Linked DNA regions of Anolis sagrei. The protein of the gene in region 1 purifies or fractionates together with the protein of each later gene. This does not show direct contact. Links are inferred from orthologs where the notes say so. Each region holds a gene or a part of one and is shown in the gene's direction. Other genes may lie near its edges.

Region 1 (7,307 bases):
CGCTGGAATGCTTTGCTCTGCTTTGCTTTATGGCCTCATAAATCAGTTAATTTAGCCTCCCCACACTTTTAAGGTGGTACCTTATTTTCCTACTTGACAGATGCAACTGTCTTTCAGGTTGCAAAGGTCGACAACAGGCTACACACAATTGGTTGGAAACCCACTCCAACCCGGGCTGGCTTCGAACTCATGACCTTTTGGTCAGAGTGATCTTAATGCAGCTCTGACACTCAGCCAGCTGCACCACAATCCCAGTCTTCATATGTTGATGCCTTCATATATGCTTTTCTTAGCTGTGTTTTACAGAGGAATGGGACTGAGTTGCACCCGCCTCCAGCCGAAAGGGGAGGACGGGAATACATTATCATAACTTTAAGATCGTCCGGGGAGGCCCTTCTCTCGATCCCGCCTGCATCACAAACAGGGACGAGAGACAGGGCCTTCTCAGTGGTGGCCCCTCGGATATGGAACGCCCTTCCCGAGGACATTAGATCGGCCCCCTTAACATTTTGGAAAAAAGTCAAGACTTGGTTGTTTGAATAAGCATTTGAAAATGTAAGGTAAATGACATAGGAATTGGAACAACCGGATGATGAGATTGGACAAATAGGAGACGTAATTGATGTATGTTTTTTCTGTAAATATTTTTTATTATTTTATCATGGTTTAATACATTTGTTATACATTGTTTTACAGCAGATACATATTAATATACATGGAGGTCTCTTCCAACTCTAGGATTCTAGAAGGCATCTGCTACTCTGCTGCTGAGTACGCATACCAAGAGGGGAACACATATCACCTCGCTAAAACAGTGGATGTGGCTCTTTCTCATGATCTCCAGCTCATGCCATACAACTGACACAAACCACATGGCCATGGGACATTGGGCCAAAAGGAAATGCAGGACACTCAATTGCCCAAAGGCAAACTCCAGGTATTCTTGAGAGACACGGATTATCTGGATCCGGCACAGTCTGGCTTTAGGCCGGGGCATGGTACCGAGACAGCCTTGGTCGCCTTAGTGGATGATCTTCGCCGGGAGCTCGACAGGGGGAGTGTGTCCCTGTTAGTTCTGCTGGACCTCTCAGCGGCCTTCGATACCGTCGACCACGGTATCCTTCTGGGGCGTCTTGCGGAAATGGGTCTCGGAGGTACTGTTTTGCAGTGACTCCGGTCATTTCTGGAGGGTCGTTCCCAGAAGGTGTTATTGGGGGACACCTGTTCATCCCCACAACCATTGTCTTGTGGGGTTCCACAGGGCTCTATATTATCCCCCATGCTGTTTAACATCTACATGAAGCCGCTGGGAGAGATCATCCGGAGTTTCGGGGTGCGGTGTCACCTGTACGCGGATGATGTCCAACTCTGTCACTCCTTCCCACCTGCTACTAAGGAGGCTGTCGAGGTCCTGAACCGGTGCCTGGCCGCTGTGACGGTCTGGATGAGGGCGAACAAACTGAAACTAAATCCAGACAAGACAGAGGTACTCCTGGTCAGGCGAAAGGCCGAACAGGGTATAGGGTTACAACCTGTGTTGGACGGGGTTACACTCCCGCTGAAGATGCAGGTTCGCAGCTTGGGTGTGACCCTGGATTCATCGCTGAGCCTGGAGCTAATACTAATACTTCCTTCCTTGTATTGTCGAAGGCTTTCATGGCTGGAATCACTAGGTTCTTGTAGGTTTTTTCAGGCTGTATGGCCATGGTCTAGAGGCATTCTCTCCTGACGTTTCGCCTGCATCTATGGCAAGCATCCTCAGAGGGAGTGAGGTCTGTTGGAAATAGGACAATGAGTTTATATATCTGTGGAATGGCTGGGGTGGGGCAAAGAGCTCTTCTCTGCTGGAGCTAGGTGTGAATGTTTCAGCTGACCACCTTCATTAGCATTTGAAGGCCTGGCTGAGCCTGGGGGAATCTTTTGTTGAGAGGTGTTAAGATGTGCCTGGTTGTTTCCTCTCTGTTGTTTTGCTGTTGCAATTTTAGAGTTTTTTAATACTGGTAGCCAGATTTTGTTCATTGAACAAAACAACAGCAAAATAACAGAGAGGAAACAAACAAGGACATCTAACCACCTCTCAACAAAAGATTGCTCCAGGCACTGCCAGGAAATCAAATGCTGATCAAGGTGGTCAGTTGAAACATTCACACCTAGCTGCAGCAGAGAAGAGCTCTTTGCCCCACCCCAGCCATTCCACAGATATATAAACCCATTTTCCTACTTCCAACAGACCTCACAAGCTCTGAGGATGCTTGCCATAGATGCAGGCGAAACATCAGGAGAGAATGCCTCTAGAACATGGCCATACAGCCCGGAAAAACCCACAAGAACCCAGTTATTCCGGCCACGAAAGCCTTTGACAATACAGATTCAACCTTCTTCTGTTTTTTGTAAACAGTGGTGATTGTGAGAGTGGTCCAGCATGTAATCACCTCTCAACAAAAGATTGCCCCAGGCACTGCCAGGTGGTCAGTTGAAATATTCCCACCTAGCTTCAGCAGACAAGAGTCCTTTGTCCCATCCTGGTCTTTCCACAGATATATAAACCCAATTTTCCTATTTCCAAGAGACCTCACTAACTTTGAGGAGGTTTGCCATTGATGCAGGCGAAACGTCAGGAGAGAATGCCTCTAGAACATGGCCCTATAGCCCGGAAAAAAGTACAACAACTCAAGGACATCTAATCACCTCTCAACAAAAGATTCCCCCAGACACTTCCAAGCCATCAAATTGTAATCAAGGTGGTCAGTTGAAACATTCACCCCTAGCTCCAGCAGACAAGAGTCTTTTGTCCCACCCTGGTCATTCCACAGATATATAAACCCATTGTCCTATTTCCAACAGACCTCACAACCTCTGAGGATGCTTGCCATAGATGCAGGCGAAACGTCAGGAGAGAATGCCTCTAGAACATGGCCAAATAGCCCGAAAAAACCCACAAGAACCTACTTATTATTGATTGATTGATTGATTGATTGATTTACTTCCCTTGTATACTGCTCTTCTCAGCCCTCAGGCGACTCAGAGCGGTTAACAACGAATTCAGCAGCACAAAACAGATCATTACTCAATTAAGACAGCAATATCAATTAATTCACATCAAAACATCAATACAACAATACAACAAAATAGCAATCCATCACGTCTCATCAGTAGAATCAGCATCCACTCTCATTGTCCATTAATCCATATTCCAATAGGGATACTAATAGGTTCTTGTAGGTTTTTCCGGGCTATATGGCCATGTTCTGGAGGCAATTTTTCTCCTGACGTTTCGCCTGCATCTATGGCAAGCATCCCCAGAGGTAGTGAGGTCTGTTGGAAGTAGGAAAATGGGTTTATATATCGGTGGAATGACCAGGGTGGGGCAAAGGACTCTTGTCTGCTGGGGCTAGGTGTGAATGTTTCAGCTGACCACCTTCATTAGCATTTGAAGGCCTGGCTGAGCCTGGGAAAATCTTTTGTTGAGAGGTGTTAAGATGTACCTGGTTGTTTCCTCTCTGCTATTTTGCAACATTCACACCTAGCTCCAGCAGAGAAGAGCTCTTTGCCCCACCCCAGCCATTCCACAGATATATAAACCAATTTTCTTACTTCCAACAGACCTCACTACCTCTGAGGATGCTTGCCATAGATGCAGGCGAAACGTCAGGAGAGAGTGCCTCTAGAACATGGCCATACAGCCCGAAAAAACCCACAAGAACCTAGTGATTCCAGCCATGAAAGCCTTCGGCAATACAGGGATACTAATACTTCCTTCCTGCCTGCCTTTGGGCCCGGAGCATCCAAGAGGCTGATGGGAGCGGAGTCTCCTCCCTCTCTCTCCCGCGGGACTACACCTCCCAGCAGCCCTTTCGGGGGGGGGGGCGTCCCAACCCTCACACTTCCTGCCGCGAAGCACGACGGGAGACGTAGTTTCCGCCGCCGGGTCACGAGACTCTTTCCTCCTCCTGCCTCCTGCTGCTAAGGCTGGGCGCGGGGCATGCCGGGAGCAGCAGAGCAGGGCCCGCGGCCTCCCGTCGTGCCCCGCGGCGCCCAGGCCGCAGCCCGAGCTCGCTTGCCTTCCGCCCGGGAGGGCCCTCCGCCCACACCGCCGACATGGAGCAGCGCCGAGGCGGAGCGGGAGGAACAGGGGGAGAAACAGGAGGGGGGCCCGCCCGCGCCCCTGAAGGTAGGTCGGTCTGTCAGTGTGGGAGTCGTTGCCGCGCGGCGCAGTCTGGGAAGTGTAGTCGTGCCGGGCTCGGGGGAACTCATTTCGCTCCCGTCGTGCTTTGCGGCGCCTCGGGAGGGCGGCGCGGCGCCTTCTGGGAAGCGGAGTCCGGCTGCCGGCACTGGGGCGAGAGAGTGGAGGGGACTCCATTTCCCGTGGGGCCTCGCGGCGGTGGCGGCGGCGGTGGTGGTGGTGGTGGCGACGGCCTCTCTCTCTAGATAGGGAGCCAGGCTTCTCCTCCTCCTCCTCCTTCTCCGCGTCCCGGCCTCGCCATGAGCAGCGGCAGCGCGGGCGGCTCCTCCTCGCGGCCTAGAACCAGCTCCTTCGCCGACCCCTCCAACGCGCCCCCCGCCGCCGCCGTCGCCGCCCCCAACACCTCCGCCGCCCCCTCCTCCTCCGCCGCCTCGGCCCCCCCTCCCCCGCTGCCGCCCCCCGCAGGGAGCAAGGCCGCCGGGCCCGGGCCTGGAGGAGGGGGCGGAGGAGGGGGAGGGAGCTTGTCGTCGGGGGGCTCCTTCCCGGGACTCAAGCTCGGAAGTGAGTCTGCGCGGAGAGGGGGAAAGGGGGTCTCCAGGGTCGCACCCCCCTCCCTTCACTGTTCTGTCTCTATTCCTATTATGATGAGGATTATTATGATAGATACCTGGGCCTGGGTCTCTCGCGGTGACGTCACGGGGAGGTCATTGGACTGGGGAAGGGGTCTTGAGAATCCGGGTTCAGGTTAGGGGTTAGGGGGGTGGCCCACTAAGTAAGGGAAAGGGAGGAGGAGGATCTGGTTGCCTGGCAACCGCAGACGGGAGGGGCGTGGCCCAAGTGGGGGCACGGGTGGGTGGGGGCAAAGGTGAGCTGAGCAAGGCATCTCAGGGCAGACCTTGGCCAAGACCCCCCCACACACACCGAGGGGCACCCCAGTGGTCAAGGGAGTGGAGCACACAGGCTCCTCCTGGATGGCCATCTGTTGGGGGTGCTTTGAATGGGGGCTGGGGGTAGGGGTAGGGGTGGGTGGGGGTAAAGGTGAGCAAGGCATCTCAGTGCAGACCTAGGTCAAGACCCCCCCCCCCCCCACACACACACACACACCGAGGGGCACCCCAGTGGTCAAGGGAGTGGAGCACACAGGCTGCTCCTGGATGGCCATCTGTTGGGGGTGCTTTGAATGGGGGGTGGGGGTAGGGGTGGGTGGGGTCAAAGGTCAGCAGGACATCTCAGTGCAGACCTAGGCCAAGACCCCCCCCCCCAGACACCTCAGAGAAGCACCTCAGAGAAGCACCCCCCACACACACACCTCAGAGGGACAGTGGTCAAGGGAGTGGAGCACACAGGCTCCTCCTGGGTGGCCATCTGTTGGGGGTGCTTTGAATGGGGGGGTGGGGGTAGGAGTGGAGGGGGGTAAAGGTGAGCAAGGCATCTCAGGGCAGACCTAGGCCAAGACACCCCCCCCCCCCCCCCACACACACACACACGCACCTCAGAGGGACAGTGTTCACGGGAGTGGGTCACACAGGCTCCTCCTGGATGGCCATCTGTTGGGTGTGCTTTGAATGCAATTTTCAAAGGTGAGGAGGGCATCTCAGGGCAGACCTAGGCCAAGACCCCCCCACACACACCGAGGGACACCCCAGTGGTCAAGGGAGCAGGGCACACGGGCTCCCACTGGATGGCCATCTGTTGGGGGTGCTCTGAATGGGGGGTGGGGGTGGGGGTGGGTGGGGGCAAAGGTGAGCAAGGCATCTTGGTGCAGACCTAGGCCAAGAACCCCCCCCCCCCCCCCCACACACACAGATACCTCAGAGGGAGGTGACGAGGGGGCAGCCCAGGTGGGGGTGGGTGGGGGCAAAGGTGAGCAGGACATCTCAGTGCAGCCCCCCCCCCCCCCCCACACAGACACCTCAGAGAAGCACCCCAGTGGTCAAGGGGGCAGCCTAGGTGGGGGCGGGTTGGGGCAAAGGTGAGCAGCCCTAGGCCAAGACTCCCCCCCCCCCGACACCTCAGAGAAGCACCCCAGTGGTCAAGAGAGCGGGACACACAGGCTCCTCCTGGATGGTCATCTGTTGGAGGTGCTTTGAATGCCATTTTCACACGTGGGGGTAGGGGTGGGTGGGGGCAAAGGTGAGCAGGGCATCTCAGTACAGCCCTAGGCCAAGACCCTTCTCCACCACACACACACCTCAGAGCTCAGAGGGAGGTGCCGAGGGGGCAGCCCAGGTGGGGGTGGGTGGGGGCAAAGGTGAGCAAGGCATCTCAGGGCAGCCCTAGGTCAAGACCCCCCCCCCCACAGACACCTCAGAGAAGCACCCCAGTGGTCAAGGGAGTGGGTCACACGGGCTCCTCCTGGATGACCATCTATTTGGGGTGCTTTGAATGCCATTTTCAAAAGTGAGCAAGGCATCTCAGTGCAGCCCTAGGTCAAGACCCCCCCTCCACACACACACACACACCTCAGAGGGAGGTGCTGAGGGGCACCCCAGTGGTCAAGGGAGTGGGGCACACGGGCTCCCACTGGATGGCCATCTGTTGGGAGTGCTTTGAATGCCATTTTCAAAGGTAAGCAGGGCATCTTGGTGCCCCCCTCCTTGAGTGGGAAGTTCAGTCCTAGGCCGAGCCTCAGAGGGAGATGCCGAGGGTCACTCTCTCCTCCTGAGGGGCAGCAAGGGTGGTGGTCAAGGGGCAAAGCAGGAGGGACGCAAGCCCTCCTCCAGAGACCCCGGTCTAACCCTGGAGAGAACGGGCCAGGCAAGGCAAGGGGGCCGAGGCCAGGCCCCTGACACTCCTCTTCCTTCCTTCCTTCCTTCCTTCCTTCCTTCCTTCCTTCCTTCCTCCTTGCATTATTGATAATGTTGTGTACTTTATTGTTTATGTTTTTAATTGCTTGTATTATTATTATTGCTTGTATTGTTGTGTTTGGGCTCGGCCTCTTGTAAGCCGTACCGAGTCCCTTGGGGAAATGGTGGTAGCGGGGTACAAATAAAGTGTTGTTGTTATTATTATTATTATTGTTGTTGTTGTTGTGTTTGGGCTCGGCCTCATGTAAGCCGTACCGAGTCCCTTGGGGAAATGGTGGTAGCGGGGTACAAATAACGTGTTGTTATTATTGTTGTTG
Region 2 (6,918 bases), on another chromosome or scaffold:
TATTATTACTTGAAAGACAATAATATACCTTTATAATTTTATATAAAATATATTGTTATAGATATATTCATTACAATATTATATACACACACACACACACACACATAATATATATAATATTATGTGTGTGTGTGTATTATATATACATACATAATATTATAATAATTATATATATATATATATATTATTACTTGAAACACAAAAAGATTAGTACACAGTAAACAAGGCTGTCGTATTGGATCACACATCGGACAGTTCCCAAGTGTCTAATTTATATTATTATTATTATTATTATTATTATTATTATTATTGCTATTGTTATTATTATTATTTTACTGACAAAAAATACCCTATGTCACAGCAAATGAGAGATATATATATTCTGGATTTCCCCCCCCACAACTGATACATCCTTGTTTTTGGTAGCTACACTTATTATTATTATTATTAACCTATCTTTGCATTAGTACACAGCAAACAAGGCTGTCACATTGGATCACACATCGGACACTTCCCAAGTGTCTAATTTATATTAGTATTATTGTTATTATTATTATTATTATTATTATTATTATTATTGTTATTTTTGTTATTTTACCGACACAATAACACCATATGTCCAGCAAAGGAGATATATATGCTGGATTTTTCCCCCCACAATTGATACATCCTTTTTTGGGTAGTTACACATTATTATTATTAGTATAATAATAATAATAATAATAATCCTAACTTTGCAATGGTTTCCAGTGGAGAAATTGGGAATAAACAACAGGAAGAATAAAAAAGCCAAAGTAGATTTTTCCCCCCACAATTGATACATCCTTGTTTTTGGTAGCTACACTTATTATTATTATTATTATTATTATTATTAACCTATTTTTGCAATGGTTTCCAATGGAGAAATCTGGAATAAACAACAGGGTATTTTCTTTCCTTTGCTGCATTTTGCAAAATTTGAAAGGGATCAGTCCAGATCTTTTGGATTTTAGAACCCACAACAAGGCATATTGAGGTATATAGCTAAATAATAATAATAATAATAATAATAATAATAATAATAATAATAATACTTTACCTTTGCCATGCTTGCTTGCATTCCTTGCAAATGCTTTGCCTGGGAGTTTGCTTTGTTGCTTGCTTGCTTTGCTTTGCTTTGCTTCCTCCTTCCTCCAAGGATCCAAGGCTGGAAGAGAAAGGAAACACACCTTTATTTCTTCTTCTCCTCTCCTCTTCTTTTTTTCCTCCTCCTCCTTTTTTGGTTTTCCTTTCTTTCCTACAGGGACATCTACAGGGCTGGAGGACTCATGGCAGGAGAATATTGCAAATCCTATCCTCCATCTGAATGGGAAACAAGTGTCTGAAATGGAAAATAATTAAAAAATAATACTAAAAAAATTACAAATGAATGCTATTCCTACTATTATTGTTTTATAAGGTATCATTATAAAATATATTATTATATTTATATAGTTATAATAAAATATAATAACAATATTGGTAATATATTTGTGTATTTATAATGTAATATTACTATCAATATATTTATATATTTATATATCAATAATATAAAATATATTTATTTATTTATTTACCTTACTTGTAATTATTCATATTGTTTGATAATGATATATTTTATATTATATTATTGATATATAAATATATTGATAATATATTTATATTATTGGGTATTTATATTATTCATATATTATTATATTATATATAATATATTATATAATATATTGTTATAATATATTACATATATTATAATAATGTAATAATATTAATATATTATATTATAAATAATATAATAATATTAATATATTTGTGTATTTATAATGTAATATTATTATCAATATATTTATATATCAATAATATAAAATATATTTATTTATTTATTTACCTTACTTATAATTATTCATATTGTTTGATAATGATATATTTTATATTATATTATTGATATATAAATATATTGATAATAATATTACATTATAAATACACAAATATATTAATAATATTATATTATTTATAATATAATATATTAATATTATTACATTATTTATAATATAATAATATTAATATATTTGTGTATTTATAATATATTATTATTATTAATAATATATTTCTATATCAATAATATGAAATATATAATTATCAAATAATATGAATAATATAAATACACAAATATATTAATATTAATATATTATTTATAATATAATATTAATATTAATATATTATTTATAATATAATATAATAATATTAATATATTATTTATAATATAATATAATAATATTAATATATTTGTGTATTTATAATGTAATATTATTATCAATATATTTATATATCAATAATATAAATTATATCATTATCAAACAATATGAATAATATAAATACACAAATATGTGTATTTATATTATTCATATTGTTTGATAATTATATATTTTATATTGTTAATGTATAAATATATTATTAAAAATAATATTACATTATAAATACACAAATATATTAATATTATTATATTACATTATAAATAATATAATAATATAAATATATTTATGTATTTGTATTATTGATATTATTTGATAATGATATATTTTATATTATTGATATAGAAATATATTGATAGTAATATTAAATTATAAATACACAAATATATTAATGTTATTATATTATAAATAAAATATAATAATATAAATATATTTGTGTATTTATATTATTCATATTATTTGATAATTATATACTTTATATTGTTATTATATAAATAAATTATTTATAATATTATTACATTATAAATACACAAATATATTAATATTAATATATTATATTATTAATATCATATAATATAATAATATTAATATATTTGTGTAAAATATATTATTAAATATAAATATACTAACATTACATTTTGTTATTATTATTATTATTATTATTATTATTATTATTATGTATATTTACAGTATACAGGATTTCAGCCCAGGAGAGATTCGAACTCGCAACCTTTCTCTTCTCTCTCTCTCTAACTCTCTCTAACTGATTCTAGTCTATGGTTGCCGGAGTGACAGCCATTGAACGTGTTAGGCCACGCCCCTTTCCGAACGCTCCAATTGGGAGCCAAGTCGTTGGCGGGGGGGAGAGAGAGAGAGAGAGAGAGAGAGAGCAACGTGTTGTACGCATGCGCACTCAGCCTTGCGAAAGGGGGAGAGAGAGAACAACGTGTTCTACACATGCGCGCTCAGTCTTGCCAAAGAGGGAGCGAGAGCGTGTTCTACGCACGCGCGCTCAGCCTTTCGAAAGGGGAATAGAGCGGGCAACGTGTTCTACGCATGCGCGCTCAGCCTTGCCAAGGAGAGAGAAGTGTTCTACGCATGCGCGCTCAGCCTTGCCAAGGAGAGAGAGCAATGTGTTCTACGCATGCGCGCTCAGCATTGCCAAAGAGGGAGAAAGAGCGTGTTCTACGCACGCGCGCTCAGCCTTTCGAAAGGGGATAGAGCGAGCAACGTGTTCTACGCATGCGCGCTCAGCCTTGCCAAAGAGGGAGATAGAGCAACGTGTTGTACGCATGCGCGCTCAGCCTTGCCAAGGAGAGAGAAAGTGTTCTATGCATGCGCGCTTAGCCTTGCCTAGGAGAAAGTGTTCTACGCATGCGCGCTCAGCCTTGCCAAAGAGGGAGAGATAACAACGTGTTCTACGCATGCGCGCTCAGCCTTGCCAAGGAGAGAGAGAAAAGTGTTCTACGCATGCGTGGTCAGCTTTGCCAAAGGAAGAGAGAGCAACATGTACGCATGCGCACTCAGCCTTCCCAAGGAGAGAGAGAAAAGTGTTCTACGCATGCGCGCTCAGCCTTGCCAAGGAGAGAGAAAAAAGTGTCGTACGCATGCGCACTCAACCTTGCCAAAGAGGAGAGGATGGGCTGCGTGGCGAACTGCGCATGCGCCGCAACGGTCATTTCGCACGGCCTTCCAAAATGGCCGCCGAGTGGGTTTCAGAGTCCGCACAAACACGGTTAGGCACGGCTCTAGGCCTCTCCCCGCCGCCCCACGCCTATTTAAAGCCCCGGAGGCCCTTCCTTTTCCCCGGCAGCCTTTGCGGGACGGAAGGGGGGCCTCTCTTCTCCCTCAGCCGCCATGGAAGGCTTCCTCGAGGGCTGCAAGGCCGCGCTGCAGGTATTGGGTGCAGGACTCAGGGGAGCAAGGGGGCCAGGCCTCAGGTAGGGCCTACCTTTGGAATGGGCACATACACACACATATACAAATACAGAGTGTGCATATATATATATATACACACACACACATATGTATACAGCAGGCATGGGCAAACTTTGGCCTTCCAGGTGTTTTGGATTTCCAACTCCCACAATTCCCAGCATCCTACCGACTCGTAGGAATTATGGAAGTCCAAAACCTATAGGGCCGAGGTTTGCCCATGCCTCCTATATAGGATACATGTGTACACATGTAGTTTACATATATGTACATACTGTATAGTTTATATGTACACATCAGTGTATGTAGTGAATTGTTGTTGTTCATTCGTTCAGTCGTCTCCGACCCTTCGTGACCTCATGGACCATTCCACGCCAGAGCTCCCTGTCGGCCGTCACCACCCCCAGCTCCTTCAAGGTCAGTCCAGTCACTTCAAGGATGCCATCCATCCATCTTGTCCTTGGTCGGCCCCTCTTCCTTTTGCCTTCCACTTTCCCCAGCATCATTGTCTTCTCTAGGCTTTGCTGTCTTCTCATGATGTGGCCAAAGGACTTCAACTTTGTCTCTAGTCTCCTTCCCTCCAATGAGCAGTCGGGCTTTATTTCCTGGAGGATGGACTGGTTGGATCTTCTCGCAGTCCATGTAGTGAATACACACATATATAGCATACATATACACACATGTATATAAGGCACAGTGTGAATACACATAAGTGTAGACATGTATATAGTGTACATAAATACATATGTTTATAGAGCACACATATACTGTGTATGCACACATACATTTATATAGTTGTGTATATATATACACACAAACGTATATAGGGCACACGTATACTGTACCTATGCACACATGTATATAATGTATATATACACACACGGCACACGTATATAGTTTATGTATATGTATACACATAATTTGCATATATGTACACACGTGTATACATAACACATACATCAGTGTATATAGTGTATACACATATATAGCATACAGGTACACATGTATATAGGGCACACTGTACACATGTATGTGGGGTACACATATGGTGTGCATCCACATGTATATAGTGTACATATATACATATGCATATAGGGCACACATATACTGTGTGTATGCACACTATATGTGTACCCCATATACATGTGTACAGTGTGCCCCCCCTCTCTATATATAGTGTGTATGTGTGTGTATATATATACCCACACACATTAATTGTGTGTATCCACACATACATGTATATAGTGCATATACACACATATAGGGTGCAAATTGTGCATATACATATATGTATATAGTATAGATACATAAACACGCATGTATATAGGGCACATATATAGTGTGTATACACATATACATACATGTATATAGGGCACACATATGGTATGTGTATGCACCTATATGTATATAGAGTGCGCATATCCACCCCCTACGATTTGGAAATATGTATGCCAGTGGTCAAAATGATGGGCATAATAGTTTAATAATATCTGGACAGCCATAGGGTGCCCATTATTATAACAAGACAGACAGAATAGTATTTACTAAAACATATAGAGCATGGATCTGGGTCTACATTGTAAATCAAATATTGTCTTACCCTAAGAATGAGCTGTTGTTTTGCAGAACTTAATAAACATAACATAAAAGTTATATTTTCTCTATCAATTGTAATAATTATCATTGAAAAGAACAAATGTTCTTTCTGTCTAAGCACTTTACGTTTGAGAGATAATATAGTTGTTAAGCCCCTCCAGGGCTCTGTACTTTTTTCAGACTTCACCATAGTATCCTTGTTTGGAGGCGTCTCTGTTTTTAAATATTTCCCTGCCCTTGTTTTAAATGGCCAGCATTCCACCCCAGAGGCATAAGTAATAGTTCTAAGAGCTGGAGGCTAACATGCACTGGTATTTTTAGTCTCACCCATCCCTGGAATGTGGCTCCTGATAACTTCTCTGGGATTGGATTCATTCCTTTGGCCAAAAGAAAGTCCCCACCCTTGAACCTCAAGACAAAGTCTTTGCTCTTGGCTCAAACAACATGGAAATGCATTTCGGCTGGTTATTTTCTGTTCTTCTAGCTACCTCTGTTTCTTTTGAATGGTTTGTTGTTGTTGGTTTGGATTTTCTTGTGGTTGTGTGCCTTCAAGTTATTCCTGACATTTAGTACTTATTTAGGTGATCCCTCATTGTCTTCCAAGATCGGTGTTCTGGCGGTGGGTTCTCCTGGCATGTTTCTCTCTTTCGCCCTCCATTCGTGCCTCTTCAAATTCTACAGCACTGCTGGTCACAGCTGACCTCTAGCTGGAGTGCTCAAGGGCTGGGGCTTCCCAGTTCTCAGTGTCTATGCCAGTTTTTAAGGTTGGCTTTGAGCCCATCTGTAAATCTATTTTCCTGCCCACCAACATTCCCTTTTCTTGAGTAGAGCAACTGCTTTGGGAGATGGCGGTCGGGAGATAGGGTGATCTATCATAATAATAATAATAATAATAATAATAATAATAATAATGTTTTGAATCACAACAAGATGAGTCCACAGCAGACACTCTGCTAGCTGTTATATTGGATTATTATTATTGTTATTATTATTATGCACAACAAAATTAGTACACAGCAAACAAGATCGCTCTGCTGTCTGTTGTATTGGATTATTATTATTATTATTATTATTATTATTATTATGTACACAACAAAATTAGTACATAGCAAACACAATC
Region 3 (7,933 bases), on another chromosome or scaffold:
CACACAGAAGACTGGGCGACTTGTAAGACGCTGAATAGACTGCGCTCTGGCACCACGAGATGCAGAGCCAACCTTAAGAAATGGGGCTACAGTGGAATCCACGACATGTGAGTGTGGAGAAGAGCAAACCACTGACCACCAACTGCAATGCAACCTGAGCCTTGCGACATGCACAATGGAGGACCTTCTTGTGGCAACACCAGAGGAACTCCAAGTGGTCAAACGACATTTAATAGAATACCACGTCTATAAAGTTTGTGTTTTGTTTGTTTGCTTGTTTTTTAATGCAATACACCTGTCTTGGTTCGCTCCATCTGTCAGGGGTGATTTGCATGCAATATTCCTGCTTCTTGGCAGGGGGTTGGACTGGATGGCCCATGAGGTCTCTTCCAACTCTTTGATTCTATGATTCTATCCTGTTAAGAATTGTGGGAGTTGTAGTCCAAAACACCTGAAGGGCCAAGGTTTGCCCATGCCTGTTCTAATGAGATCTCCAATTGGGCTGGCAAACAGTGAGACAAATGAGCCAAAGATATGAAAGAAAACATGACCCTTTGAAGTGACAGAAGGGAAGCCGGGGAAAGGGGCAAAGGCGCACTCACCCACTTATCCAGGGGCACCTGTGCCAAGGAGCCAGTCCCTTGGTAGAGATCCAGCGTGAGCTGCTCCAGACTCAGCTTCTCTTGGAGGAAGTGGCCCAAGTACCTCTGCAGCAGGTACCGGCAGGCCCTCTTCTTGATGGATTCGGAGAAGGGCCAAGGCATGGTGGCGACAAGGCAAGGCAATGCCGGCTGTGAGGGAAACTAAACGGGGCAAGGCTTGAAGGGAGACAGGTAGGCCTCCCCGACTCAATTCCCTGGAGGTGCCAAAGGCTAAGGAGGAAGGAGCGCCTCCATTCCGCCTCCTCCTCCTCCTCCTTCTCTCTCTTCACGCCGCCTCCGCCATCTTCCCCCTCTGAGAGGAGGAAAGGGGCGTGGCTTAGAAGCTCGCCAGGCCACGCCTCCTCGCTGTCTTGCCCAGCTTCAAGGATTCTTGTTCTCTCCGCGCAGAAAAAAGCCCGGCTGCCACTCTTGTTGTTGTTGTTGTTCTGGCCTCCGCTTGGCGCCTCCTTCTGGCGTCACGCGCCCGGCTGTGACGTCACGCGCAAGCCGGCAAAGGTCGCCGCCGAGGGAGAAAAGAAGGGAGAAAGTCATGTGCTTCTGGTAGAACGTAGAGGTGGAGCTGTCGAAACAGTGCGTTGTGCCCTCGAATTCCGGCTTCCAGCGAGCTTACCTGAATGGGCTTATGTAGATAGATATCTCCTAAGCTTGGGCAATCCATGGTTCTAAATGGTTCTAAAGTACTTACAAAACTAAAGTTCTGGTGGTGAAAATTTCAGAACTCTAACAAAACTCTCAAAATTTCATAATAAATGGCAGTTCCTAATTAGTTCTGTCATTAAAATCACCAATAATGAAATAATAATTAAATTTTGAAAGTTTTGTTAGAGTTCTGAAATTTTCACCACCAGAACTTTAGTTTTGTAAGTACTTTAGAACCATTTAGAACCATGGATTGCCCAAGCCTAATATCTACATAAAAACTCCAACCATCACCCAAGTCAAAAAAGAAGCACCATTAAAACCTTGGCAGACCGTGCAAAAAGAATCTGCGAACCCCACCTCCTCCAAGATGAACTGAACCACCTCAACTGAGCTCTACAGGCCAATGTTATTATTATTATTATTAAACTTTATTTGTACCCCGCTAGCATCTCCCGAAGGACTCGATGTGGCTTACATAGGCCAAGGCCTCAAAACACAACATAACAATACAACACTTAAAGCAAATTAAAAACAGTTAAGCATTGCAATATTAATAACAAGCAATAAACAATACATCAAGGCACAATGGACGACTCCGGCCCAATTTACCTGTCCGAATGTATCCTCCCCTATGAGCCATCAAGTTTACTAAGATCGTCTGGAGGGGCCCTGCTCTCGATCCCACCAGCCTCACAGGTACGGCTGGTGGGGACGAGAGACAGGGCCTTCTCGGTGGTGGCCCCTTGACTCTGGAACTCCCTTCCACTGGAGATTAGAACTGCCCCTTCGATCTTAACGTTCAGGAAACAGGTGAAAACCTGGCTTTGGGGATTGGCATTCAACGAATGAGCCATGATCCTGTGATATGGATGGAGGACGACGAATAATGACTTTGATGACGACTGACCACTGTAATCATATGATTGTATTTTTGCCATTTTAATTGTTTCAATGTTTTAATGTTTTAGTGTGATTTAGAAATATGATGTTTTAATGACGGTCTGTAATATTGATGTTGGAAACCAGCCCGAGTCCCTCAAATGGAGGTGAGAAGACCGGTATACAAAACTACCAAATAAATAAATAAGATGGATACTCCACCTCAGACATCAGAAGAGCTGCAAGACCAAGAACAAGCCACTAGAGTAAAGACAAAGATCCACCCCGAGGAAAAGTGTTCTTGCCATACATCAAGGGAACCACTGACCGCATAGGGAAGCTGATGAGGAAACAAAACATACAAACTATCTACAGACCTACCAAGGAAATCTAACAAATGCTTCGTTCAGCAAAGGACAAGAGGGATCCTCTCGCTTCTGCAGGAGTCTACTGTGTACCATGCAGCTGTGGACAAGTCTACATAGGGACTACCAAATGCAGCATTGCCCAAACACGAATCAAGGAACATGAAAGGCACTGCAGACTACTTCAACCAGAGAAGTCAGCCATAGCAGAGCACCTGATGAACCAACCTGGACACAGCATTTTATTTGAGAACGCAGAAATGCTGGACCACTCTCACAACCACCATGTCAGACTACACAGAGATGCCACTGAAATCCACAAGCATGTGGACAATTTCAATAGAAAGGAGGAAACCATGAAAATGAACAAAATCTGGCTACCAGAATTTAAAAAACGTCTAAAATCCTAACAACATTCAAAACAGGGGAACTCTAGACATGAAACAATCAGGGACACCTAATCACCTCTAAACAAAGGACTCCCCCAGGCAGTAAGAAGCCAGACCTTGAAAACTGCTAGGCCATTAAATCCTAATCAAGGCGGCCAATTGCAACATTCACACCTGTCTCCAACAGACCGGAGTTCTTTCTCCCACCCTGGACATTCTACAGATATATAAACCCCATTTTCCTAGATGACAACGTCGTCTGTGCGCATTCAGAAGAAGACCTACAAGCCACTCTAAACACCTTCACAGAAGTGTACGAGAAGCTCGGCTTCTCACTGAACATAGAGAAAAACAAAGTGCTCTTCCAGCAGTCATCAGTCAACCAATCTGCAATGCTAGAGATACAGCTTAATGGTGTAACATTAGAAAATGTCAACCATTTCCACCACTTTGGCAGCCATCTCTCCACAAAAGTCAACATTGACACTGAAATACAACACTGCCTGAGCAATGCGAGTGCAGCATGTTTCCAAATGAAGCAGAGAGTGTTTGAGGACTGGACATCCACAGGGATACCAAGGTGCTTGTTTATAAAGCTATTGTCCTCCCAACCCTGCTATACGCCTGCGAGACGTGGACTGTCTACAGACGTAACATGCAACTCCTAGAACGATTCCATCAATGTTGCATCCAAAGAGTTCTACAAATCTCTTGGGAAAACAAGCGGACAAATGTCAGCGTGTTGGAAGAAGCAAAGACCACCAGCATTGAAGCGATGGTCCTCCAACATCAACCTCGCTGGACCGACCACATTGTCCAGATGCCCGACCACCATCTCCCAAAGCAGTTGCTCTACTCCAAACTCAAGAACAGAAAACAGAATGTTGGTGGGCAGGAAAAGACATTTAAAGATGGGCTCAAAGCCAACCTTAAAAACTCTGGCATAGACACTGAGAACGGAGAAGCTGTGGCCCTTGAGCGCTCCAGCTGGAGATCAGCTGTGACCAGCAGTGCTGTAAAATCTGAAGAGGTAGGAATTTTTTTTTTATTTATTTCAAAGTTTTCTATACCGATCTTCTCACCTCATTGAGGGACTCAACCCAGTTTCCAACCATAAAACACATACAATCAGTAAAATATCATAGTTCACAATTACAGTAACACATTTAAAATAACAATATATTTAAAACTACGGTGGTCAGTCGTCATATTAAAATCAAATATACATCATCATCCATCCAAAATCCATCCAAAATCCTAGGGTGTTGTCTCATTCATCGAAAGCCTGTCTCCACAACCACGTCTTCACCCGTTTCCTAAATGTCAGGATAGATGGGGTGGTTCTGACCTCCGGTGGGAGAGAGTTCCAGAGTCGCGGGGCCACCACCGAGAAGACCCTGTCCCTCGTCCCCACCAGACGCGCCTGTGCGGCCGGTGGGACCAAGAGCAGGGCCTCTCCAGACGATCTTAATAATCTTGATGGTTTGTAAGGGAGAATACGTTCAGAGAGGTAAACAGGGCCGGAGTCGTTTAGGGCTTTATAGGTTAACACCTGGAGGGCGAAAGAGAGAAACGTGCCAAGAGGAAGGTGCGTCAAGCCAACCCCAACCGGGACCACATTCCACTTGGAAACGAATGCCCTCACTGTGGGAGAACTTGCAGATCAAGACTCCATAGTCACCTACGGACATACCGCCAGTACACCGATCTTGGAAGACAATCCTACTCAGACAAGTAAGCAAAGTAGTTTCCAACAGACCTCACAAGCTCTGAGGATACCTGCCATAGGTGCAGGCGAAACGTCAGGAGTGAATGCTTTTGGAACATGACCATACAGCCCGAAAAACTTAAAGCAAATCAGTTTTGAATAGTTTTGTACAGACAGGTTTCTCCCTTCTTCTGGAACATAGCCGCTTGGGAGCCGGAAGACTCTTCACACGTCTCTCTGTCGGCGAGCCTAGAACTCTTTGACTAATGAATCACGTGACTGGGGCGAGCGGGAGGAGGGAAAAGAGAGCGGAAGAGGCGCCTCGCCTTCAGTCGCCTTGGACGGAGCCTGAGGGAAGGCGCCTTTTCCTTAGCTGTCTCTTTGGGAGTGGAAGAGAGGCCATAAATACTCGCTGGCCAGGAAAGGGATGCACTGGTGTGTAGGTACCTCGTGGCGAGAGCGGGATTGGGTACATCTAGACCAGGTATGGGCAAACCTGGGCCCTCCAGGTGTTTTGGACTTCAACTCCCACCATTCCTAACAGCCTCAGGCCCTTTCCTTTTCCCACTCAGCCGCTTAGCGGCTGAGTGGGAAAAGGAAAGGGCCTGAGGCTCTTAGGAATGGTGGGAGTTGAAGTCCAAAACACCTGGAGGGCCCAAGCTTGCCCATACCTGGTCTAGACTACAGTTAATGTAGTTTGACACCACTTTACTGCCTTGGCTCAATGTTATGGAATCCTGGGATTTGTAGTTTGGTGATACAACAGCACTCTCTGGCAGAGAAGGCTAAAGACCTCTTAAAACTTCAAGCCCTGCGATTGTATAATATTGAGGCAAGGAAGGTGACGTGATGTCAAGCTGCATTCATTTATAGGAGGCAATTGCGATTGGAGACCTTGATTGTTTATTGTTTATAACAGGGGTCCTCAAACTAAGGCCCGGGGGCTGGATACGGCCCTCCAAGGTCATTTACCCAGCCTTCGCTCAGGGTCAACTTAAGTCTGAAATGACTTGAAAGCACATAACAACAATGATATCTGAATGAAGACCTTGGTTGTTTATTGTCTATAACAGGGGTCTGCAAATGACAGGGGTCCGCAAATGACCTCCTAGGTCATTTACCCGGCCCTCGCTCAGGGTCAACCTAAGTCTGCAATGACTTGAAAGAACATAACAATAACAACAACGATATCAGCCAAAAGCAGGCCCACACTTCCCATTGACATACTAATAAGTTTATATTTGTTAAATTTGTTCTTCATTTTAATTATTGTATTGTTTATAAGTGCACTGCAAGTACGATATGTGCAGTGTGCATAGGAATCATTCATTTTCAAATTATAATCCGGCCCTCCAACAGTTTGAGGAACTGTGACCTGGCCCTCTCTTTAAAACGTTTGAGGACCCTTGTTTATAAGGAGATTTAGATTGGTCTGGCCCAGATTACCTGCCCAAATGTATCTCCTGTTACGAACCATTATGAATCTTAAGATCATCAGGAGAGGCCTTGCTTTCGATCCCACCACTTTCGCAAACGCGGTTGGTGGGGACAAGAGACAGGGCCATCTCGACAGTGGCCCCCCATCTGTGGAACTCTCTCCCTAAGGACATCAGGTTGGCCACCTCCCTCCTGTCCTTTAGAAGACAACTGAAGACTTGGCTTTGGGACTAGGCGTTCAATTAGTGGACAGCGGCAATTGGCAAGAAAACTTAGGATATCTGCAACATTGGATTTACCCTGATTTGGGCTTTGTTTTACTGACATGTTTATTGTTTAATGAATTTGTATAATGTGTTTTAATGATTTTTTGCTGTTTTAAAGGTAAATTTTGATTGTTTATATGCTGATAGCATCATATGATACTTATGTGAGGCCGCCCTGATTCCCCCTTTGGGGGGAGAAGGGCGGGGTAGAAATGCATGAAATAAATAATAAATTGTACAGCTGTTGAGATCTGAAGACACCTTCAAAAAGAGGAAGATAGTTAACGTGGGGCTGCCTTTGAAGACTGTTCAGAAGCTGCAAATGGTCCAACGGATGGTAGCCAGATTGCTCACCAGAGCAGCATACAGGGAGCATACAACCCCCTGTTACGTCAACTCCACAGGCTTCACTGGCTGCCAATCTGCTACTGAGCACAATTCAAAGTTCTGGCTTTATACTATAAATCTCTAAACAGTTCTGACTCAGCTTTTCTGTCTGAACGTATCTCCTTCAATGAACCACCATGGAGTTTAAGATCATCTGGGGAAGCCCTGCTCTCGGTCCCGTCTCCCTCACAGGCACGATTGGCGGAGACTAGAGATAGGGCCTTCTCAGTGGTGGCCCCTGGACTGTGGAACTCCCTGTTAGATCAGCCCCCTCCCTTCTGACCTGCAAAAGATTGAAAATGTGGCTTTGTGACCAAGCCTTTAAAGAACTTGTTCAATAAATGGAGTTGGATTTATGTGCAGTGACCATTGAAACAGCCCAGATTACTCTTGTGGGTTTATGTGTTCAACTCTTAATGTATTGTTTTTAAATGTTTTGTTTTAATGTACTTTTAAATTCTATTTTAATATTTATTTAAGTGTACATTGTGTTTTAGGGCCTCAAAGTGTTGCCTGTATATAAAGCTGCCTTGATTCTCCTCCAGGGTGAGAAAGACGGGGTAGAATGTCATAAATAAATAAACTTCTGGCTTCCTTTTCAATAGACGACCCATCCTGGGCATAAGCAAAAATAAAGTAAATAGGGAAAAAAGGATGACCCAAACAACTACCGTCCGGCCAGCCTCACGTCGATACCGGGCAAGATTCTGGAAAAGATTGTTAAGGAAGTGGTCTGCAAACACTTAGAAACAAATGCAGTCATCGCTAATAGTCAACATGGATTTATCAAAAACAAGTCATGTCAGACTAATCTGATCTCTTTTTTCGATAGAGCTACAAGCTGGGTAGATGCAGGGAATGCCGTGGATGTAGCGTACCTGGATTTCAGTAAGGCCTTCGACAAGGTCCCCCATGACCTTCTGGCAAGGAAACTTGTCCAATGTGGGCTAGGCAAAACTACGGTGAGGTGGATCTGTAATTGGTTAAGTGGACGAACACAGAGAGTGCTCACTAATGCTTCCTCTTCATCTTGGAAAGAAGTGACAAGTGGAGTGCCGCAGGGTTCCGTCCTGGGCCCGGTCCTGTTCAACATCTTTATTAATGACTTAGATGAAGGGCTAGAAGGCATGATCATCAAGTTTGCAGACGACACCAAATTGGGAGGGATAGCCAATAGTCCAGAGGACAGGAGCAGAAT
Region 4 (7,088 bases), on another chromosome or scaffold:
TTTGAGTATCTTAGTGCTCCTGTTGACATCTGGCAACATCCTCAGAGTTACTTTTAAAACAATCTCTCATATTTTGGCTACAATTTTGCAGTGGTTCCCAACCTATGGTCCTTGGACCACCAGTGGTCCACAAGAACTAAAATATGGTCCATGGCCTCACCGTTACTACACTGTTGCAATGAAAGCGACTGGTCTCATGAAATCCTCTTATAGTGCTGAGGCTTATTAATTATAGTTTTCTGTGGGCAAGCAGATGGCCATTACTGGATGGTATGTTCTGTATCAGAAACTAGAGTAGATGTGGTCTATCCAATGCAGTTTTCTGAATCAGCACCCCAAATAACCAAACAAGATCTAAAGTTGACCACAAACTGGTTCGTAACCCTTTTGGTGCTAATGTTGTAGAGTGGTCCCTGGTCAAAGTGGTCTCCGGTCAAAGTGGTCCTTGGTCAAAAAAAGATTGGGAACCACTGGTTTCAAGGAACTGTTGGAGCCAAATTTCCAGGGAGCAGAACTTGGAAACCTTTTCCAGACATTTCCCACTAGGTATAATTGTTTGTCTCTTCTCCTTTCCAACATAGGATTCAAGGGAGCTACCAACAAGATTAAGACACATACAACATTGTCTATCATATTAAAACATCAGTTTAATTCAAAACAGTAAGTCATTTTTAAAAATAACAACAAAGAGGTGTTTAATGAGACCCAACCCATTAAAATGAACTCTTCCGCTCCGCAAAATGAGTTGATCATCAAAAGACTTTTTGAAGAAAGAGTCATTTTAAAAACACACAAACAAAACAGGCGTATTTGACATTCACAGAATCACCACCTGGCATTGCCAAAGTTGGAGCACCCAGTGGCACAATTGGTTAAATCTGTGCAGGAGTGCTGACCAATATATGTCAGCAGTTCGGATCTGAGGAGAATGGGTTGAGCTCCCTCTGTCAGCTCCAGCTCCCCATTCGGGGACGTGAGAGGAACCTCCCACAAGGATGGTCAAAGTGGTCAAAGTGGTCAAGTGGTCCCTGGTAAAAAAAAGGTTGGGAACTGTACTATACTGAACTATTTTCCACCCCTTTGAACTACCATAGTGCCGCTGAACCCCTTCTCCCCACAATCATTTAGTTCCTGGCTCAGCCCAATATAAAATAGATGAAATATGTACTCTCAACCTTGTTGGATGCCTTCAAGGCATTTCTGACTTATGGTGACCCCAAGGTGAACCTCTCATGGAGTTCATTTGGCAAGATCTGTTTGGAGGCCTTGCTGTTGATTAAATATCCATCTGGGTGGCAAGTCCTTTATTGCTATTCAAATATCCCTATCCATTTCTCATGTAGCTCCTATGTCAATAGTAATCCAATGTAGAGAAGGCTGCGAGTCTCTGGACTGTCTTCTGAATAAACATGCATAGGTTCAGATGCACCCAGATATTTCGGATTTTTGAGGTTGCACTCATCCATCAATTTCATATTATTCTGCCATTCTTTCATATATTCCCCCTCAGAAAAAGAAGTATCTAACAGCAAAAATTACTTTGGAATCTATCCAGGACAGACAAGAAGTTGCATGTGCTTGCATAATTTTTATTTAAAATAGATATTTTTCAAATATTTATTTTTTTAATAACCCAGCGTTCAGTCCACAATAAAACTATGTTCTTTATAGCCTGGAATGTGCCCGTGGTTTGTTGGACTCCCATGTCATTTGCATGCATGGGTAATGAAAAGACAATGGGACCTTACAAATCTGTGGAATTTGTGCTAATGTCTTAAGCCATGTCTGGAGTAATAAGCAATTACGTCCACATTTTGGGTGTGCTTTTAATGAGTCTATTGTCAGTTGCACAAAAGGACTGGTTGGCTGCGAGATGACCTCAACTTGCAAGCTGGAATTTGCACCAAATGTAAACCTTTTCCCTGCGATTGTTTGTTAGAAGCGGGGGGGGGGGGGGGGCAGCTTCAATACCTGGTGGATTGGGCGGGGAATTCATTGTAATGAGTTTCTTTTTCATTTTTCCTCTCTCCTCCTCTGATCCAGGGATAGCTATTTGCTATGCCATATACCCACCCACCCACTTATCCGCCCATTCAGAGTCATTTGAATGACAGAACCATATTCCACTACCAGTGGCTCGTCTAATTTGCTACAATAGCTGCGGTATGTGTGGTGCTGACATGAGAACGGGACCTTTGGTCTCCTCCACTGTAGGATGCCAACACTCTTCTCATGCCATATGCAGGCTAAAGTTTTGATACAGAATTAAGACAATAGAGTCTTCTCTTCTCACTGTTCAAAGAAGTTGCGTGCCTAATCCTCATTAATATTGTTTGGATTTGCATGTTAAAGCCTGAGGGTGCATGGATGGACAGATAGACACATACACACATAAACATTGTACTCAACCTCCTTTTTAGATCTTGTTCCCTCCCCCCCCCCCCCCCCGACTTTGTATATGCTTCCATATCAACTTATTCTCTTCTTTAGTCCACCGTTATTTATGTGTTGGTTTGATTGTTGCATCAACCATGTTGGTCATGGCATAGCTTTCCTTTTCAGAGGCATTTCTTTGTGAGTTGAGACTCACCACTAGAATACTGTCATGAATGAAAGGTTTCAATGTATTGTCGAAGGCTTTCATGGCCGGAATCACTGGGTTGTTGTAGGGTTTTTTTTGGGCTATATAGCCATGTTCTAGAGGCATTCTCTCCTGACGCTTCGCCTGCATCTATGGCAAGCATCCTCAGAGGTATTGAGGTCTGTTGGAACTAGGAAAGTGGGTTTATATATCTGTTGAATGACCAGGGTGGGACAAAGGACTTCTTTGCGGATGGTGTAAATTCTCTCTCGTAAAAGGTTGCGTTCCAGGCGGTCATAGATCCGGTGAGCTGGTGGTGTTTTGAAAGTCCTTTTGGCTGCGATAAATTGTGGGATGGTATCTGTGTCTCTGCAGCGTAGAAAGAAAGTCACCAGATCTATGACCTCCTGGAACACAACCTCTTACAAGAGAGAATTCACACCATCCGCAAATAAGTTCTTTGTCCCACCCTGGTCATTCCACAGATATATAAACCCACTTTCCTAGTTCCAACAGACCTCACTACCTCTGAGGATGCTTGCCATAGATCAGTGGTTCTCAACGTGTGGGTCCCCAGGTGATTTGGCCTACAACTCCCAGAAATCCCAGCCAGTTTAACAGCTGTTAGGATTTCTGGGAGGTGAAGGACAAAACATCTGGGGACCCACAGATTGAGAACCACTGCCATAGATGCAGGCAAAACATCAGGAGAGAATGCCTCTAGAACATGGCCATATAGCCCGAAAAAACCTACAACAACCCAGTGATTCCGGCCATGAAAGCCTTCAACAATACATTGAAGATCTCTACGGAGAGAAACTGTTCCAAGACACACGAAAATTGGAAAAACTAAGGACCAGGAAAGCACATCTACAGTGTTCCCTGACTTTCCTTCTATGCTGCAGAGACACAGATACCATCCCACAATTTCTTGCAGCCAAAAGGACTTTCAGAACACCACAGGCTCACCGGATCTATGACTGCCTGGAACGCAACCTCTTACGAGAGAGAATTCACACCATCCGCAAAGAAGTTCTTTGTCCCACCCTGGTCATTCCATAGATATATAAACCCACTTTCCTAGTTCCAACAGACCTCAATACCTCTGAGGATGCTTGCCATAGATGCAGGCGAAACATCAGGAGAGAATGCCTCTAGAACATGGCCATATAGCCCGAAAAAACCTACAACAACCCAGTGAAAGGTTTCAACCTAGGCACATGGGAAGAAGACAGTCGATGCTCCTAAATGTGTCGCGAGTGCCTTTCCCTTACTACAGAACATCTGTGGAACATCTTTAAATCCACATTTCTCAAGGTTGAAGAACATATGGCTTCAGAGAAATGGAAAACCTGTGATCTTATTTGTAAAAAATATACTTTGATTCATGTACATAAGAAAAAAAACACTGGGTGTTCTTGAGAGGAAGAAAGAGAGGGAGTGTGAGGAACTCATGTGTTTCTTTTCCCCATGTTTCCTTTATTTCAGGACACGTATGAAGGAGGAGCAGTAAGGCATCCTCTCAGAACCAAGGCAAAGAATGCACCTTTCCATCCATATCCCTCCAAACAATGACCTGTAAGTATCAGATATATTTCTTTTCTGAAAACTAATAAAAATTAAAACAATCCAGAGCCAGGCAAATATGTGGATTTGTGCAGTTCGCACATTTCCTTCCTTTTGTTGGACGGTGTCTACACACCAGTATCTTGCAAATCTGTTGATCCAACTTTCTTAAGAGTTCCTTACATTTGCAACAATGCTATTTTTCCATTGATTTTAGGGTGGTAGACTTTTAGTATTTCAGTTGATGTGGACTGCCAACTCCCATAGCCCTTTATTGCTATGGTGGTTGGCCTGATTGAAGTTATAGGCCAAAATATCCGGAAGGCTATACTTTTTCCATCCCTGGTTTATATTCAGGTTGTGTGGCAAAATTTATTATTATTTATTTATTTGCTACATTTGTATACCACCCCTCTCAGCCTGCAGGCGACTCAGGGGGGTTTACAGTCAACATCAAGACATAAGAATACAATAAAAAACAATTAAGATGATATAAAACATGATAAAATCCATAAAAATATGTGGTTTTGTCTCCCAATAAGTGAACTCTGAGATGAGGAAATTGAGTACAGACAGTGGGTTGTTATAGGGTTTTTCGGGCTATATGGCTATGGTCTAGAGGCATTCTCTCCTGACGTTTCACCTGCATCTATGGCAAGCATCGTCAGAGGTAGTAAGGATACTTGCCATAGATGCAGGCGAAATGTCAGGAGAGAATGCCTCTAGACCATGGTCATATAGCCTGAAAAACCCACCCAACAACATAGTGATTCCGGCCATAAAAGCCTTCGACAATACATTGAGTACAGACACCTTGCTGTGTGCAGTCAATGTTGGATTCTCACCAAATCCAATTGTGACGTTGCTGGCATGTTTACTTAAGCCTAAACAATGTGTAACCTACTAAACTGGGCATGGCTCACTAGCCACATAGTCTAACTTTTCAGGTGTTTGACAATCTCCCCATGCTCTAATTCGAGATAAGAAAGCCATTTTTTAAAAAAAAATGAGTGGAAGAGGAGGGAATAATCCTTGATGTGATTTTTTGAGAGGTGATAATGGTGCCAACCTCTTGGCTACGAAGCAATATCTAGGATGGCACAAAATATGAAAGAATTAATTATGGTGTCGCACTAGTTGTCCAGGCTTGCCTGAAACTCACTGTGAAGATAGGAACAAGGTAGGCACTTTCTACACTGCCATATAATCTCGATTATCAAAGTGGACAATCCACATTATCTGCGTTGAACTGGATTATATGAATCTACACTGTCATATAATCCACTTCAAAGCAGATAATCTGGATTTTATATAGCAGAGTGATTATCCCAGGAATTATAATTTCCCTCCTAGTCATTGATGGTGTAGACATGTGCAGATGTTAAGTGGTGAAGTTGGAAAGATGAATTGAGGAGATTGGTCCAGTTAACTTGTGGTGGTGCGTCTTCACATAGTTTCTGATTTATGGTGGCCCCAAGGCATTGCCAGGGGTTGGATTAGGTTGTTGTCTCTTCCAGCTCTATGGTGGTATTTATCACTAGACTTTCTTGTAAAGAGATATTCAGAAGATGTTTACCTTTGCCTTCTTCTGGGGTTGTATGACTTGCTACTATTATCATTATTGCTGCCAATGACAAAAAGAGGAGGGAGGAAGTACTCACATGCTCCCGTGGCTCTTATAAAGCTGATCCATAAACATTAAGAGGTGCTAATGCATATCTCCATGCTGTGAAAAGCATTATCACCTCCTGATGTCTACAGAGCACCTTAATGGGAAAAGGAGAAGAGGACTAGCCACAATCAACCCAGCAAGCTAAATATGCTCCTGTAAAAATTGATCCTCTGCTCATAATTTGTATGGTTTTGTCCTTGTACAAATGGTGTTAAAATTCTCATCTCATATATCATCCTAACTAATCTGTTCTAAGGTTTATTAACTACCTCTATAATAAGTTGATGTGCCGAAATCTGAATATTGTTTTTTTCATGTGTTGAAGAGGAACAATTTCACATGTGAAAAGATACACAAGGGTACTTCAATGGCTCTGATGTTAGTTGGAGGGGGGATGGATCCACACTGGTTTAGGCTGAGCTTTAGAGGAGTTATCCAAGGTGCTGGACTTATTTTGGGGAGGGAAATGCTTCAGTGTCTCAGAAAGTGATAGCATTTAAATTAAAACTGATTCATTGGTTCATCCACTGCCACCTGCAGCCAGTGTCTCAAGCAGTGGTTCCCAACCTGTGATCTGTGGACCACCAGCGATCCACAAGAACTAAAATATGGTCCGTGGCCTCATTGTTACCTACACTATTGCAACAAGAGCAACGGGTCTTGTGAAACCCTCTTACAGTGCCCAGGCTTATTAAATATGGGTTGTTGTAGGTTTTTTCGGGCTATGTGGCCATGGTCTAGAGGCATTCTCTCCTGATGTTTTGCCTGCATCTATGGCAAGCATCCTCAGAGGTAGTGAGGTCTGTTGGAACTAGGAAAAAGGGTTTATATATCTGTGGAATAACCAGGGTGAGACAAAGGACTCTTGTCTGCTGGAGCTAGGTGTGAATGTTTCAACTGACCACCTTGATTAGCATATAATGGCCTGACAGTGCCTAGAGCAAACTTTTGTTGAGAGGTGATTAGATGTCCCTGTTTGTTTCCTCTCTGTTGTTATGCTGTTGTAATTTTAGAGTTTTTTTTAATACTGGTAGCCAGATTTTGTTCATTTTCATGGTTTCCTCCTTTCTGTTGAAATTGTCCACATGCTTGTGTATTTCAGTGGCTTCTCTGTGTAGTCTGACATGGTAGTTGTGAGAGTGGTCCAGCATTTCTGTGTTCTCAAATAAAATGCTGTGTCCAGGTTGGTTCATCAAATTTTTAAATATGGTTTTCTGTGGGCAAGCCGATGGTGACTACTGGATGGCATATGTTCTGTAGCAGAAACTA

What was found.
Region 2: the proteins of glycogen synthase kinase-3 beta-like (region 1) and PRUNE1 purify together in Homo sapiens (affinity purification with mass spectrometry; 3 studies listed by BioGRID and IntAct, with this or other methods). This does not show direct contact. The link is inferred for Anolis sagrei from reciprocal best matches to the Homo sapiens genes GSK3A and PRUNE1.
Region 3: the proteins of glycogen synthase kinase-3 beta-like (region 1) and GSKIP purify together in Homo sapiens (affinity purification with mass spectrometry; 7 studies listed by BioGRID and IntAct, with this or other methods). This does not show direct contact. The link is inferred for Anolis sagrei from reciprocal best matches to the Homo sapiens genes GSK3A and GSKIP.
Region 4: the proteins of glycogen synthase kinase-3 beta-like (region 1) and AXIN2 purify together in Homo sapiens (affinity purification with mass spectrometry; 3 studies listed by BioGRID and IntAct, with this or other methods). This does not show direct contact. The link is inferred for Anolis sagrei from reciprocal best matches to the Homo sapiens genes GSK3A and AXIN2.

What each region holds. Positions count from the first base shown.
Region 1 is NC_090034.1:109,126,343-109,133,649, forward strand, and holds the start of glycogen synthase kinase-3 beta-like, read left to right. Parts: upstream 1-4,294; 5' UTR 4,295-4,482; coding exon 4,483-4,744; intron 4,745-7,307. UniProt on the Homo sapiens protein: Constitutively active protein kinase that acts as a negative regulator in the hormonal control of glucose homeostasis, Wnt signaling and regulation of transcription factors and microtubules, by phosphorylating and inactivating glycogen synthase (GYS1 or GYS2), CTNNB1/beta-catenin, APC and AXIN1.
Region 2 is NC_090032.1:5,173,017-5,179,934, forward strand, and holds the start of PRUNE1 (exopolyphosphatase PRUNE1), read left to right. Parts: upstream 1-3,909; 5' UTR 3,910-4,124; coding exon 4,125-4,163; intron 4,164-6,918. UniProt on the Homo sapiens protein: Phosphodiesterase (PDE) that has higher activity toward cAMP than cGMP, as substrate. Plays a role in cell proliferation, migration and differentiation, and acts as a negative regulator of NME1. Plays a role in the regulation of neurogenesis.
Region 3 is NC_090021.1:318,912,082-318,920,014, forward strand, and holds the start of GSKIP (GSK3B-interacting protein), read left to right. Parts: upstream 1-4,910; 5' UTR 4,911-4,911; coding exon 4,912-5,084; intron 5,085-7,933. Other genes in the region: ATG2B (autophagy-related protein 2 homolog B), read right to left, coding at 603-764. UniProt on the Homo sapiens protein: A-kinase anchoring protein for GSK3B and PKA that regulates or facilitates their kinase activity towards their targets.
Region 4 is NC_090022.1:181,787,817-181,794,904, forward strand, and holds the start of AXIN2 (axin-2), read left to right. Parts: upstream 1-4,083; 5' UTR 4,084-4,159; intron 4,160-7,088. UniProt on the Homo sapiens protein: Inhibitor of the Wnt signaling pathway. Down-regulates beta-catenin. Probably facilitate the phosphorylation of beta-catenin and APC by GSK3B.